Linked DNA regions of Mus musculus: region 2 is reported to be linked to region 1. Evidence: microRNA targets listed by miRTarBase, many of them from high-throughput screens and not tested one by one. Region 1 holds a microRNA gene; the other region holds the end of a gene's coding sequence.

Region 1 (7,121 bases):
AACACAGGGTCTGACTGGATCCTTCTCTTTGGTCTAGTGATGGAAGACTGATGGGTGCTAGAGTAGAGGCAGTTTGGAGGTCCAGGCAGTGATCTGAGGTGATAATGAGGTGATGTTGGCTTGGTCAACATGAGGTAATGTTGGCTTGGTCTTGAGGGGTGGTGGAGAGGTAGTGACCCTAAGACGGGAAGGATCTTGAAGGGAGACATGGCAGCATAGAACAATGACCCAGTTGTGCCAAGGTGACACTGAAGTCTTTTCTTGGGCTTACAGAAAAGTGGCAGTTTTGTCAGGCCTGAGATGCTGATATATCACATTCAGTGTCGGGACTCGGAACTTTCCTGTCATCTATCATTTATCCCAAGGAACAGTTGAAGAATGGTGAAATATATTCAGTATCAGAAATCTGTGCCTGCAATTAAGCAGGCTGGTCTGGGGCCTGATCTTATTTCAGCTCTGTGACACGAGTGCAGTAATTGTTTGGCAGACATAAACATTTCAGAAATGAAAATGACATTCATCCGTGAGAAGACTATCAAGCTCATTGGACAGTCGCACAAAGGGTAGACATCATTATTAAGACAAAGATCTTTCTGGGCTTATTGTGATTGACAGCCTGTCCTTCAAAGTGATCTGATAACTGTTCAGATGGCCAACCCTTTGCCTCTTGGCTGCTCTAAAGGAGATGTAGGTAGTCAGCCTTGAATTCTCCACAGCCTGATGCCCAGCAACGTATAAGAGCATTTATTAAAATTGTGGTTTTTCAGAGTCTCCTCTATCTTGGGCTTCTTGAAGCCCTTATCTATTTATTCACCAAAAACCAACGATCAGATAACAGACCACAAATTTGAGATTTCAGAACGTGCCAAGTGCAAAGATGGGAATTTGAAGAGCAACCTGTCTCATTCCCCTGGGAGACCATGGAAGGTTTCCCGGCAGTGGCAGAATTCTGTGGGCTGAAATTTGTGCATGACTCCAAACGCTGAACAAGTAGGAGTCCATAGAGAGCATGGCTAAATCTGAAGGGCCTTCAGACCTACACAGCCTTTCTTCTCTGGTGGACGGTCTTGTAAAGTACAGAAGAGAACGATGGAGGGAGGAGGAGAACACGGGTTACTGGACCTTTAGAACAGTTATGCATGGGCTAAAAGTAAATTATTTTCTATACGTGCATTAACATTTCAAGGAACAAATAAAACATCAGCGGAATTTTAGTAAAATAATGAAATACTAGTAAAATCATTAAATACTAATAATACGAATAAAAGAAAATATTAGATTGGAATTTTCTGGTGCGATTTACAGATGGCTGAAAGCAACCGGAGGCCTCACGTCCCACTATTGGAGGCGCTTATTAGCTTTTCTTGCCCACGCAGTGTAAGCCCCTCCCCCCCCCTTTGTGTCCACCCAACTTCCTCTCCTAGTCATTTCTGCTCACTGCAGTACTGTGTTGTGGTTTCCTAACCAAAGACTTTATGCTCTCGCAAAATAATCTAACAGAGCATTTTCGCGAAGCATTCGCTTGTGGTTTCTAGGGATTTTTCGAGGCTATACGCTAGTCACATAGTCACGTGAAAAACCTTTGGGTGGTCTGGACTTGAAGGGACCGGTGCATCCTTTCCAAGTTAGTGTCTCTTCAGAACTTCCAGAGACCCGGGGATGGATCTCCAACAGCAGCGCTCTGCACTGTTAGAAGCGGGTAGGTCTAGAGGGCGCTAGCCGCAGGCAATCAAGCTTTTCCACTCTGCCAGAAAGTTTCCAACCCCTTCTGGAGTCCCCGGGTGCCGGCTGCGGTCAGCCGAGAAGGGCGGCGGGAGGGGAGGTGGGAACACAAGAGGATCGCTTTAGTGATCAGCCTCCTGGAGAAGCGCCTGGAGGCTCTGACCCACTGCGGAAGAGGAAGAGGAGCTGGGCCCGGAGCGGGTGGGCGGACGGGCGGTGACAGTCCGGTCGTCCCCCGGAGCGCGCGGGTCAGGGTGGAGCCTGCAGCCCCGAGCCGCGTCAGCGTTTAGCATGCAAATGCATTCCCCGCTCCTCCCCCACCCCCACCCCGCCCCAGCCCTCCCCGCCCCGGGAGCGAGCTCAGCGGCTCCGCAGCCGCCCACCGCCTCCTGCGCGCCGCGCCGCCCAAGCGGGCGGCTCTACTTAAGCGGCGCGCGGGCCGCGACCCGCCACTCGCCTGGAGCGCGCGGGCGAGGCAGGCGCAGCGCACCGGGGCTCTCGTGGGCGCACTGCTGCGCGCTCGCACCGCGCGGCTCTCAGTGGCCGGCCGCCGCCTGAGCGCAGGGCTCCCCGATAAGAGCCGCTGGGGCTTCCGATCGCGACCCCGCTCCCTGCCACTTGGCCCATCCGGGCCACCTCTTTTTGGCCATGGCTCTGGCGGACAGCACCCGAGGATTACCCAACGGGGGCGGAGGCGGAGGTGGCAGCGGCTCGTCGTCGTCCTCGGCGGAGCCGCCGCTCTTCCCGGACATCGTAGAGCTGAACGTGGGAGGGCAGGTGTATGTGACCCGGCGCTGCACCGTGGTGTCCGTGCCCGACTCGCTGCTCTGGCGTATGTTCACGCAGCAGCAGCCGCAGGAGCTGGCCCGGGACAGCAAAGGCCGCTTCTTTCTGGACCGGGACGGCTTCCTCTTCCGCTACATCCTGGATTACCTGCGGGACTTGCAGCTCGTGCTGCCCGACTACTTCCCGGAGCGCAGCCGGCTGCAGCGCGAGGCCGAGTACTTCGAGCTGCCGGAGCTCGTGCGTCGCCTCGGGGCGCCCCAGCAACCCGGTCCGGGGCCACCGCCGCCGCACTCGCGCCGCGGGGTGCACAAGGAGGGCTCTCTGGGCGATGAGCTGCTGCCGCTGGGCTACGCAGAGCCCGAGCCGCAGGAGGGCGCCTCGGCCGGGGCGCCTTCGCCCACGCTGGAGCTGGCTAGCCGCAGCCCGTCCGGGGGCGCGGCGGGGCCCCTGCTCACGCCGTCCCAGTCTTTGGACGGCAGCCGGCGCTCCGGCTACATCACCATCGGCTACCGCGGCTCCTACACCATCGGGCGCGACGCTCAGGCGGACGCCAAGTTCCGGCGGGTGGCGCGCATCACCGTGTGCGGCAAGACGTCGCTGGCCAAGGAGGTGTTTGGGGACACCCTGAATGAGAGCCGGGACCCCGACCGGCCCCCGGAGCGCTACACCTCCCGCTATTACCTCAAGTTCAACTTCCTAGAGCAGGCCTTCGATAAGCTGTCCGAGTCGGGCTTCCACATGGTGGCGTGCAGCTCCACGGGCACCTGCGCTTTTGCTAGCAGCACCGACCAGAGCGAGGACAAGATCTGGACCAGCTACACCGAGTACGTCTTCTGCAGGGAGTGAGCTCCCCACGCCCGCCCCTCGCCACTCCGGTGCCCACTTCCCTTCCTCCCCTCGGGGGACAGGATTATAGATGCCCTCGCTTCCTCCCTGTTTCCCGATTCCTTCTGCCCCCACCCCCAGATCTCCTAGTAGGTCACCCAGACCCGTCTGCACCCCACTTGCGAATCTGCAGCCACAAATCCTCTGGGCGTCTTCATCATCTTTGGACCCCACTAGCCGAGAGAGTGTTCTGATGTAGCCCTTCACTCATGCTTCCTCTACTCCTGGCCTCCAACCACCCTTCCCCCAGATTGTCGTGATCTAGTGGGACAGTCACCAAGTACCTGGGAATGACTGAATTGATCAGAATCGGATTGCACGGTGTCCGGCGTGCAGTTCGGACGAGTCCTTGACATCTTAAACCCTTTGACTCCATAGCGGTTTCAGAGATCAGAACTGAGAGTGCTGTGTGGAGAGAGTGCTTTAAAAGGTTGTTAGAGATTTGACCCTCATTAGAAAGAGAGTTTTAGACAATTGAATGGTAGACCGTATGCTGGAAGACCCCAAGGACGCAGTTCAGAGACTGTAAATAAAGAGATTTTTTTGTTTGTTTTTAAAGTTACAGGTAGAAGTAAATTCTAGTACTGGCAACAGGGGAGAGTTCTATTTACCCCCAACACATTAGATCTCCTGTGGCTTAAAATTGTAGAAAGCAATCCTCCTGCCTGCGGAGGCGCCCTTTCTCTTCAGCTGTTTGCCGAGCTTTAGGTTTTGTTGGTTAAGGCTTCTAGGCTAGGAGCAGGCAGGGAGCGGGAGGCAGCGCTTCTAGAAGTCACCTGGCAGTGACCCAGTAACGCAGGAGTGGTTAGTAGGGACAGTCAGCCCTTACTTAGGTCTAGGACTGTGGGAGGGTTGGGGAGGGAGGAAAGATGGGAGGAAGGGCGGGAGGGAGGAGGGGGACATGCTCATTTATTATTTGAAAGTTGGAAGTTTGTATAATCCATTTGAGTATGTGCGCATTTAAAAAAATATGAAACAGTACGTGTAAACTTAGATTTTATCAAGATTAGTAGAAGACCCATCTTCAGCTGGAAGTCTATCGAGCTATTTTGAGTCCTAAACTTAGTTGCTAATACTTGTATAACCTAACCAAAGAGTTACCTAGTAGAGTTTTTAGTGATTTGAACATTTATTTTTCTTGTTGATTCTATTTCCTCACTTATAGCCTATTTACTTAAGCAAAATAAGTTTGATTTTTAATTACTTAGACTTCAGATCTCTTTATTATTATTATTATTATTGTTAGCAGTAGTGTTTTTAAATTGATGTTTTCTGCAAGGCCAGCAAGTGTGGGCTGCTGGGCTGTTCTGAAAACCGGAACAATGCTCTTTCTTTCCTGCGTTTGTTTGACGTTGCAGTGACAGATTCGAAAGATCAACGGAAGCACGGGGGGGGGGGGCTGCCCATCTGTAGATAGCTGTCAAGTGGAATGTTTCTAAATGAAGGCAAATAAGTACTTCAGTGTGAGCCGAGCAATAACGCGGTATTTAGGTGAATGCAACAGAAACAGGGGACCTTTGCCTTATTGCCTTTCCTCTCACGTGGAATGAATTCCCAGTGTGTATCCTGTGTACACCACAGCAGAGAGGAGGTATGCCCGTATGCTTCCACACCACAGCAGAGAGGAGGTATGCCCGTATGCTTCCCTCTGAGAGACGTCCTTTGGATAATCTGTGATTACAGAGAAGCCTTTGTGTATGTGTGTGTGTTTGTTTTATCATCTTACTCTGAAATATGTTTTTAAGGATTTTTGTAAGAGCCATTTGAAGTGTTTAAATTAGAGCTATTTTTTCCTTGTTTTTAAAAAACGAACCTTGTACCGTGTATCTCATCATATCCGAGGCAGATGTTATGAATTGGGACAGTTTTATTCTCAGACTCCTGTGATCAAATCTGTACATACCATATACAAACATTTTACACGAATCATTTAGTTTTTTAATTCATCTACTGATGCTATAAAATTTCCTATATTTACCCCTGGTAACTTGCATTTGATGGTGTATATACAAAAGCAACGCATTTTGGTGAGCTTCTCATATCCTTGCCTGTGAACTTGGGTCAGGAAAACAGTCACAACTACAAGGCTGGGTTTGCTCCATACTTTTTTGCTGGGATGTTAGTTGTATAGTAATCATGTGTCAGCTACCTGTATTCAAGCTATCCATATTTTTAATCCAATGATGTCTTCATTTTAATTGGGAGATTTTTTTTTCCTTTAGAGAAGAGTTAGCTTCATGTACAAAGTGTGTGATTTTAAAGAAAGGGCAGCAGGGGTCCAGGAAGCTGTGCTTACTCCAGCTTTGGGCTTGTTTTTAGGCGGTGGATCAGGTAATGGCTCAGAACCTTTGTTTCAAGCCTGAAATGACTTAGGACTGTCAATCACTGGCCAAGTGTGAGTCTCAGACTTCTCCCATGCCACGGAACAGTGCTAGATTGCTTAAGAAAGAAATGTATGAATAAAAACCATCTTTAGGACAGCTCAAAATACACTGAGAGATGACAAAACGGAAGTTCTAGCTTCCTTGTCAAGTCTGCATAACACTAGAAGCCATGGGAAACTGCTGAAGTTTTGTCTGCATTGTTTATGAATTGAAGCTTGGAAAATTATTCAGTTTGTCTCACTAACACACAGACATTTCTGTACCTTCCACCATACTGGCTGGCCTGTTAAAGATTGGGCCATTAGTATAAGGGACAGTACATGGACCTCTTCCTGGGAGTGACTGTGCCCTCTGCTGTTAGGGGCAATGCATAAAAACTTAGTGCTTTTCAGCCCAAGTTAAGTCTGAGCAGTCATCTCATTATATGATAGGTAAGTATGACTGAGCCAGGCTGATGTCGTTGGGTCCTTTCCTCTCCATGCACTTTGGGTTGTAGAAGAAACCCTTAGGGCTTATAAAATGTTCTGAAATCTCGGTCAGCACCTGTGAATTTGATGACTGTACCAAACAGTGGAGCCTCTCTCATCAGTATCTTTGAAATGACCCAGAAGAATATTATAAACTACTCAGATATTCACGGCTGCATTAATCTATCTCAGAGAGGCAATCATTTGCATATGTTGATCAAATTACCATTTGATGCTCATAAATAATGGAATGACATTAGGTTTAATAAGTAATTTTTTTAAAAAGTGTTGACAGTCTCTGTGGTTGTAAAAAAACAAAACAAAACAGGTCCCAGGTTCCATGCTTGTCTATCAGATGTTTGATATGTCTGTTTTTATTTTAATACGTGTGGATTACAAACCACATTCGTTCTAGATTTTCAAACATGTAATGGAAAATATACCTTGCAGGTGTGAGAAATTTCCCCTTTAATACTGTTTTTATTCTAGTGTGTCTTATTTGTTTTTGTTCAGTTGCTAGCAAAATGATAATTTTAGCCCCAATTGTCTTCTTTTTCAAAGCAGAATCATATGTGTGTATACCTGCTGCTTCTCCGGGGAGATGTATGATGTGCCAATACCCAGAGACAACTGGCAGTGCTTACAACGTGGTCTAATTTCTATGGCCGTTTCCATGGAATGCAGTTATTACGTTAAAGCCATGTATTACGAAGCTTTGATAAATTTTTAACTCTTCATATTATGATAAATTCCAATCTAGCATTCAAATAATTTTTGTACTCCTATATGTAAAATGAGCTATACAAATATTTAGAAAAATATTGAGTGAAGGAAGTGAATTCCTTAAGAATTTCTTTTACAGTCTAAAATTACAAGT
Region 2 (7,121 bases), not on the chromosome of region 1:
TGGGGAGATACCTTCCAGTCTCCTTAGGGAATGCTGTAGTCATATCTCTGCCTTCTGCTTTGTCTCAGTGGTGAAGCATCTCTGCATAATAATGTTTATGCATATGGATTCGATGTTGTCTCTTTGAGAAGGTAGTAATTGTTCACAGGATTTTTAAGTGTATTCCTATATATTTTAAATGTTGCTGTATTTAGTGTGTCTTGTGAACATCAATAAGAAATAACATTTACAGGAAAAGAACAGCAGATTTCTTGTTTTGAGTTTCGACTTGAGCGAAGCTGAAGAAAATGCCAAAATAATATGCAAATATTAATCTGCCATATGTGGAGCTTCTAGCAATTTTTTTCCTCGGGAGCTGTCATCAGGATTCTGCCTCTCTTATTATTTTGGGTGTTTGTTTGTTTGTATATATATATATATATATACATATATATATATATGTATATATAATCTGTTCTGTATTTCATTATAGTGGGACTTTTCCCAGTGGACCGTACCTTCTCATCATCATTTCTTTATTTGTAGGAAATTTTGACTGGGTAGGGAATGACTTTACCCAGAACGCTGGCACGGGCCTTGTCATCAACCAGGCAGATGTGAGAGACAACAGGAGCATCATTAAGCAACTGAAGGACGTGTTTGAGAGGGACTGGTATTCGCCTTATGCCAAATCCATACAGCCCACCAAACAACCGAACTGTTCAAGCCTGTCCAAACTCAAGTCTCCCTCCAAGCAACCTGCCATGGCCAATGCCACCGGGAGGGAGCCGCTGAGCGTATAGCTCACTAACAGACACACAAGGCTTCAGACCAAATGCAGGAAGGACTAGAGGAAAGACAACAATTTACTACATCTTTTCTTTTATTAAGGAGAAATAAAAAGCACACTTATTTAAAATGTTCTCTGAATGACATGTAATATCTAGCTAACAACATCTTAGCACTGTATATTAAATTTAAGACTTTTGTATCTATGAGCTCTGACAGAGAATGTTGTTCTGGCCTAGGAGTTAGTTTTTAATGACTGCAAACACATTTTACGACTTGGTTCTTGTCTCCTGATTCTTACTGGTTTTAGAATCTTTTCTGCTGACCCATCAGCACTGGTTTTAAGAAGAATAACATGAGGTGAGCCCTTTCCTTTAATATTGCTGAATTCTGGAATTAGAGGAAGGGGGGAGAAGATGCAGACAGAACCAAGCATCTGCCCTGACATATCCTCTCTAAGACCTATCCAGGCAGCTGAGCACAGGCACCTCCATTTCATGCCAGCCTTCAAGACTTCTGAAAAACACTCATTTCTGTCCCCTTGTTCCTTGTCTTCTGATACCAGGGTTTTGAGGGTATCAGTCTGTCTTCTGACAAACATGTTCTTGTTTTACATCATCCTTGGATTCATCTCAGCATTAGTTCAAAAAGTGAGAATGTCTTGGGGAAATGATATGAATTCCCCAGAATGTATACAGAATGGAAATCAGTCTTTCACTTTCTCCTTTCAATTACATTTTTTAAACACACACACACACACACACACACACACACACACACACACACACATATCCTTTCCTCAAGCTCCAAAAAAAAAAAAAAGAAAGAAAAAAAAAAGAAATGAAGTGCCCCTGCTAATACCCAGCAAGCCATTAAGTCTGCATTTGAAGAATAAAGCAGTTTCACATTTCTGTTTGGTTAACAGTATTATAAAGGAAAGGTCTATGCGTCGGTGGATTTTAATTTATTTAGAATTATTATGCTGTTAAGAGTATGCCAGCAAATGTTTATAATAGAGCTATTTAATATACCTTCTGCTATTTAATATACCAAATGCTTTTCAGACAAATGCAATTTAAATACTGTGCTTAACATATTTTACTAAGAAACAGAAATATTGGATTACTGTTCTATAATGTCATTGTGTGTTGTTTTATATCTATATAATATATAATCCTGTATTAAAAAAGACTGTTGGTACATGAGAGGGGTGTGACCTCTTCAGGGCCAGAGGAAGTGGTCAAGATGCCTATGCCCAGTGTGGCTCCTGACTCTGTGCTCAGAACAGAGCCCTTCCCTCTTTGGCCCCGGTTTTCTATTGTTAATGTAGACAATAATCCTCACCTACCTCGCAAGGATGCTGTCATGGTAGGCGATATTTATAAGTTGTTTTTGAAATCAAAAGAACCTATATAAATGCTAAGCATTAACATTGCATAATCTTTTTCTTGAAATAATCTCTGTGGTATCCTGGTAGCACCAATACCAGGCACTCTCCCGAAGAATCCAGAGGGCAAAATAAAGCACTTTCTGTTTGCAAACACAGGTGATATGAATGGGGGCCAGGGGTGGAGAAGGTTGGTCAGAGTGACCATCTGAATGGTAGGTATTTGAATGGAACATGCAGCCTGGTCACGGTGACATAAATAATAACACATAACTAGATGCTGCGCTGCAAATGGTCCATTAGCACCAGTGTGTGCCTGTGTTTTTAGAACAAGGATGAGCAATCTCATTTGATCTTGAGAGACTTGGTTTTAATGATGCCAAAAAGAGTTCCCTACTCAAAGGTTCACTGACACAGAAGGCTGTTCACAGTCCTACTGATCACCCATGTTCTTTTCCTGCCAAAGACACCTGTCACCTCACTGGGTGTTTAAAACCAGTCAAGAGAGCTGGGACAGTATCCAGGCATGGCGATGCATGCCATTAATATCAGCTCACTGGGGGGTGGGGGTGGGGCAGAGGCAGGAAGATCTTTGTAGGTTAGAGGCTACATAGAAAGTTCTAGGACAGCCAAGGCTACATAGAGAGAGACCCTGTTTCAGAAAAACAAACAAAAATTAATGGAAAGAAAAAGAGAGAAAGACAGAGATTAAGAGAGGGACAGGGACACAGCATCCGATGAGAAAGCTATGATTAAAGGGTATCGAGTTTTATGGGCTGATTTAAAGACTCTCAGTGATACTTTTCATTAATAATGGTCAGCCTACAAGACTCTTAAGTATTTACCATATACTCCATCCTTGAATTGGGTGTCATCCTGGCAGCTGTCTGAAAATAGCTTTGGGAATAATTTTCCAAGGAAGGAAGGAGGCAATGGTTCAAGGTGGAGACATACTAGCTTGTTCACTCTTGGACAGACAAAGGGAACCTTGGTTGATTCAAAGGGAAACTTCAAAGGTTGTCTCCCTTTGGGCTCCCTCCATTGTCACCCAGATTCCTTGTCAATAGTCTCATGAGACAAACAAAGGTTTGGGGGCATGGGCCCTCTCCCTGTTGCTGCCTTGGGTATTGTGCAATAGGAAAAGAGATCATTGTCACTTATGAAATGACCAGCAGGTCACTTATTCCCAAACGTACCATCATGGCAGCCCTGTGCATGTATCACAGGCATCTGCCACACACCAGGAGCCCTGCCTGACCTGGTAACCCTTGTCTGTGCCATCACAGCTAAGCACATCACCCCACCATGCAACACTCTCCTTCTGCAGCACCCAGGGAAATGATCCCTGTGCAGAGTGCCCAGTGTCATCTGCCCCCTGAGAGAACGTCTAATTCAGGAGACTGCTCTCTTTCAGCAGGATGCTGTCCTACAAAGGGGGCATTTATCTTTTAGACTTTAAGTCTCTGCAAGATAAATAACTAACTTCCATTCTTCCCCTTCTAAATAGCTTAGGATCTATTTCTCAAGAACAGAAAACAAAAAGCACTCCAAGACTACTTGTAATTTGGAGATATACCCCGATGGAAAATATGAAGAAGGTGACTTCGGTCCTACATTTTTTTCTCCAGGGATATTCTGGGTCTGTTCTTCAAAGGGATGGAGACCAAACACAGTTTGAGATACATTTTAGATTTCTCCATCACTAACAATAACTTAGTGCCTTATTTATTCTCAAATGTTGGTTTTCAAAATTCAACAGTGACCCACCATATGGGCCATATCTGCTCACTTTGGAGTCAGCATGGCCTCAGACAGACCAACTGGTTGAAAGCAAACGTGTGGAACCCACAGTTTCTATGCATCCTGCAGTTTTCCCAAGACACATAAAATGTATATATCATCCTCACCAGTCGCTGGCACACACTCTCCTATGTTTGTCCTGGTGACTTTCACTACACTGTCACTGGCTACTCATATATGAAGTCACAGAGCTAGCAGGCCATGGGAAAGGAAGGGGAACATGAAATTGTAACCACTCCCTGCAAATACTATACTTTGTGAGCCTGAAAATGACGGAAACAAGACACAGTGCAAATACCTCCCCCAGCCCAACCTGCCCCCCCCCATTTGTGCTGACTTTAAGGAGTGTGTAAGAAATGCTGCCAAGGTCCTGTGGAACATAACGTGAAAATTGATGTCTTTGAGTCTCGCAGGCTCAGCAAGAGAAATAAAAGATGTGTGGAAGCTCCTGCTTCTGTGTTGCTCGGGGCACTGTTCCCTTGGAATCTGCGCTGCTTGATCTGAGACTCTGACGCCATTCTTAGTCGGATTGGTTGGATCACATTCTGTTGATTGATCTTACTCTTTGAAAAAGGTGTTTTATTAACGCATGGTTACTGGCTTGTCAGAAGCATCTCATTGAACCTGGGATGGGTAGAGAGGCTCATATCCCACTGTAGCTCTTCTCAAGTGACTTGGATTCGTTCATTCTGAGATTCCTATTTGCTTATAGAAATTTATGGAACTAAGTTCCAGAGGGAGAAAATTAAAAACAAAAGCAAAAACAACAAGTCAGGGAGAATTTCTTGGTAGAATCAGACCCAGTGTCCATCTGTCTCAGGAATGCTATTCTTTTAAAATTTATATTTCTCACCTAAATGCATGACTTTTGTAAGGGTTTCTCTCTCCAAATTCTATTCTATTATTTTAAAATTATTTTTAATTCCATTAAATTAAAATTTAAATTCCATTATAATTAAATTAATTCCAATACTTTGAATTATTTAAAAGTTTCATAAATTTTAAATTTAAATATTTTAAATATTATTTTATATTTTCATGTGAAACTGTGTCCTTCCCCTGCATAGAGCAGTCAGCTCCTGTAATGCAAACACTTTGTTGTTATTATTCAAACTCCATCCTATCAACAGCCCTGGATAATAGGTGAATTTTCTCCTTTGCCTGTGTATTCTCAATGAATTGCTGTACCCTATTATAAGAAGTTTGACTGAGAACATATATTAGATAAATTATTCTGTAGCCCATGCTTTCCACCCCCTTCCTTGTCCCCTTATAGTTTGTTTTAGTTAGGATTTTTACTATTGTGAACAGACACCATAACCAATTCAAGTCTTATAAAAGACAACATTTAAAGCCGGGCATAATGGCTCACGCCTTTAATCCCAGCACTTGGGAGGCAGAGGCAGGTGCATTTCTGAGTTCGAGGCCAGCCTGGTCTACAAAGTGAGTTCCAGGACAGCCAGGGCTACACAGAGAAACCCTGTCTCGAGAAACAGAAAACAAAAAACAAAAACAAAACAAAACAAAACAAAACAAACAAACAAAAGGCAACATTTAATTGGAGCTAGCTTATAAGCTCAGAGGTTCAGTCCAGTCAAGGTGGGGACATGGCAGCATCCAGGCAGGCATGGTGCAAGAGAAGCTGAGAGTTCTACGTCTTCATCTGAAGGCTGCTAGTGGAAGGAGCTAGGGTGAAGGTCATATGCCCAGTAACACACCTACTCCAACAAGGCCATACCTCCTAGTAGAGCCACTCCCTGGGCCAAGCATACACATACCATCACATAGCTCATTAACCAGAGAGCTGCCTGTCATTTTTGACCTAAATGAAATTAGGAAGGCTATCCCCAGCTCTTAGCCTACTTTTTCCATTTGAGAATCCCCACCTTTGGATGAACTAGAAGGCACTGCTTTTTATGGCAACTGGATGGGTATTCTAAAGCAGTTTCTTGAAACTGTGAAATTGAGTCTTCTTACTTTTGATCCACAGGCAGTCTTATACTTGGGATTATAAAAGTCCACTGGTCAGTTGGCTTCCATTGGAAATCTAACAAAGAGAAATGTGATACTTAGCTGTGTGAGGAAGTGCATACCTAGGATCCCAGAACTTAAGTGATGAGGAGTCAGGAATTCTATGACATCTTTAACCACATAGCAACCACAAGACCAACCTGGACTACATGAGACCCTGTCTGACAAAATGGCTGTGGGTGAAAGACATGCACCTCCAAACCGAACAAACTGAGTTCAACCCCCAGGACCTGCGGGATGGAAGGAAAAACTGACTCCGCAAACTGTTCTCTGACTCTCACAAATGTGCCTTGGCACACACACTCATGTGTGATAAACACACACACACAAACACACAAATACACTAAACGAATAAATAATAAACATTTAAAATAAATACAGAAAAGGTAAGAAATGTAAGATGTAATAAATTCTTCTGCATTTTCTTTTGTTATATGCAACTACTGACTTAATTCTGTTTCAAGGGATATTTGTGTTTCTAATACACCCTTATATAAATTTATATTTGGGGATATCAATCTTCAGACAATTAACTAAATTGGCTAATAAAAGGCTGAAGGGGGGGCTTTACAGTGATCAATTCTTTTATGTAACCAAACACTAAGGCTTTCTTTTTCAAGCATAAGTATTATAAATCTTTGTCATACTGTGAAGCTAGCCATTTCTTTTTCCCTCAGCTTGATCTTAGAAGGCAGGTACTGCTTTAGACAGTGAATGAGGGAGCTACAGTTGACCCTGTGGAGCTTGGACCACTGTGGAGTGCTTCACCCAACAAACATCCTTGTAATACTATTCCTATCTGATGTTTTTAAAATAAAATGTGACGTCAGGGTGTATAGACTTTGAGGAAAATAAAAAAGCAAACACTGTTTTATGAAGAGATGTCATGTAGACCATGTCCTGGACTTATAGCTGGTCCAACTGCCTATGGTATTCATCCATTGCCCTATCTCAGATCTATGCCTAAAATCTATAGTAAATACACCGTGTCTTCTCTGCAAAGTCCCTTTGGTGTCAGGCTCTGTTTGCAAAGCCGAGGACCAAAGCCAAGTCCTTGAGGACGCTAGCAAGTGCTTTCCCGCTGAACTACACCCCAGCCCCACCCAACTCCATCCGGAGTCTGAAACCTAGAACT

Evidence for each region. The annotated mature microRNA mmu-miR-5130 reads CUGGAGCGCGCGGGCGAGGCAGGC and lies in region 1 at 2,180-2,203, shown strand. An mRNA with a match to its seed (bases 2 to 7 or 8) in the 3' UTR can be bound and repressed. Matches are read on the target gene's strand: a 7mer-m8 pairs with bases 2 to 8, a 7mer-A1 pairs with bases 2 to 7 and ends in A, and an 8mer does both.
Region 2: miRTarBase lists Pld5 as a target of mmu-miR-5130. Seed matches in the 3' UTR shown: 7mer-A1 at 1,572-1,578.

The regions. Positions count from the first base shown.
Region 1 is chr14:102,977,690-102,984,810 of GRCm38, reverse strand. It overlaps Mir5130 (microRNA 5130), which reads left to right and starts at 2,179; the gene lies at 2,179-2,262. It overlaps Kctd12 (potassium channel tetramerisation domain containing 12), which reads left to right and starts at 2,174. Exons shown (of 1, transcript NM_177715.4): 1 at 2,174-7,121. The coding sequence starts at 2,371. The coding sequence ends at 3,354.
Region 2 is chr1:175,957,489-175,964,609 of GRCm38, reverse strand. It overlaps Pld5 (phospholipase D family, member 5), which reads left to right. Exons shown (of 10, transcript NM_176916.4): 10 at 526-2,304. The coding sequence ends at 782. Among named protein-coding and RNA genes, the nearest start is that of Becn2, 41 kb to the right of the region's middle.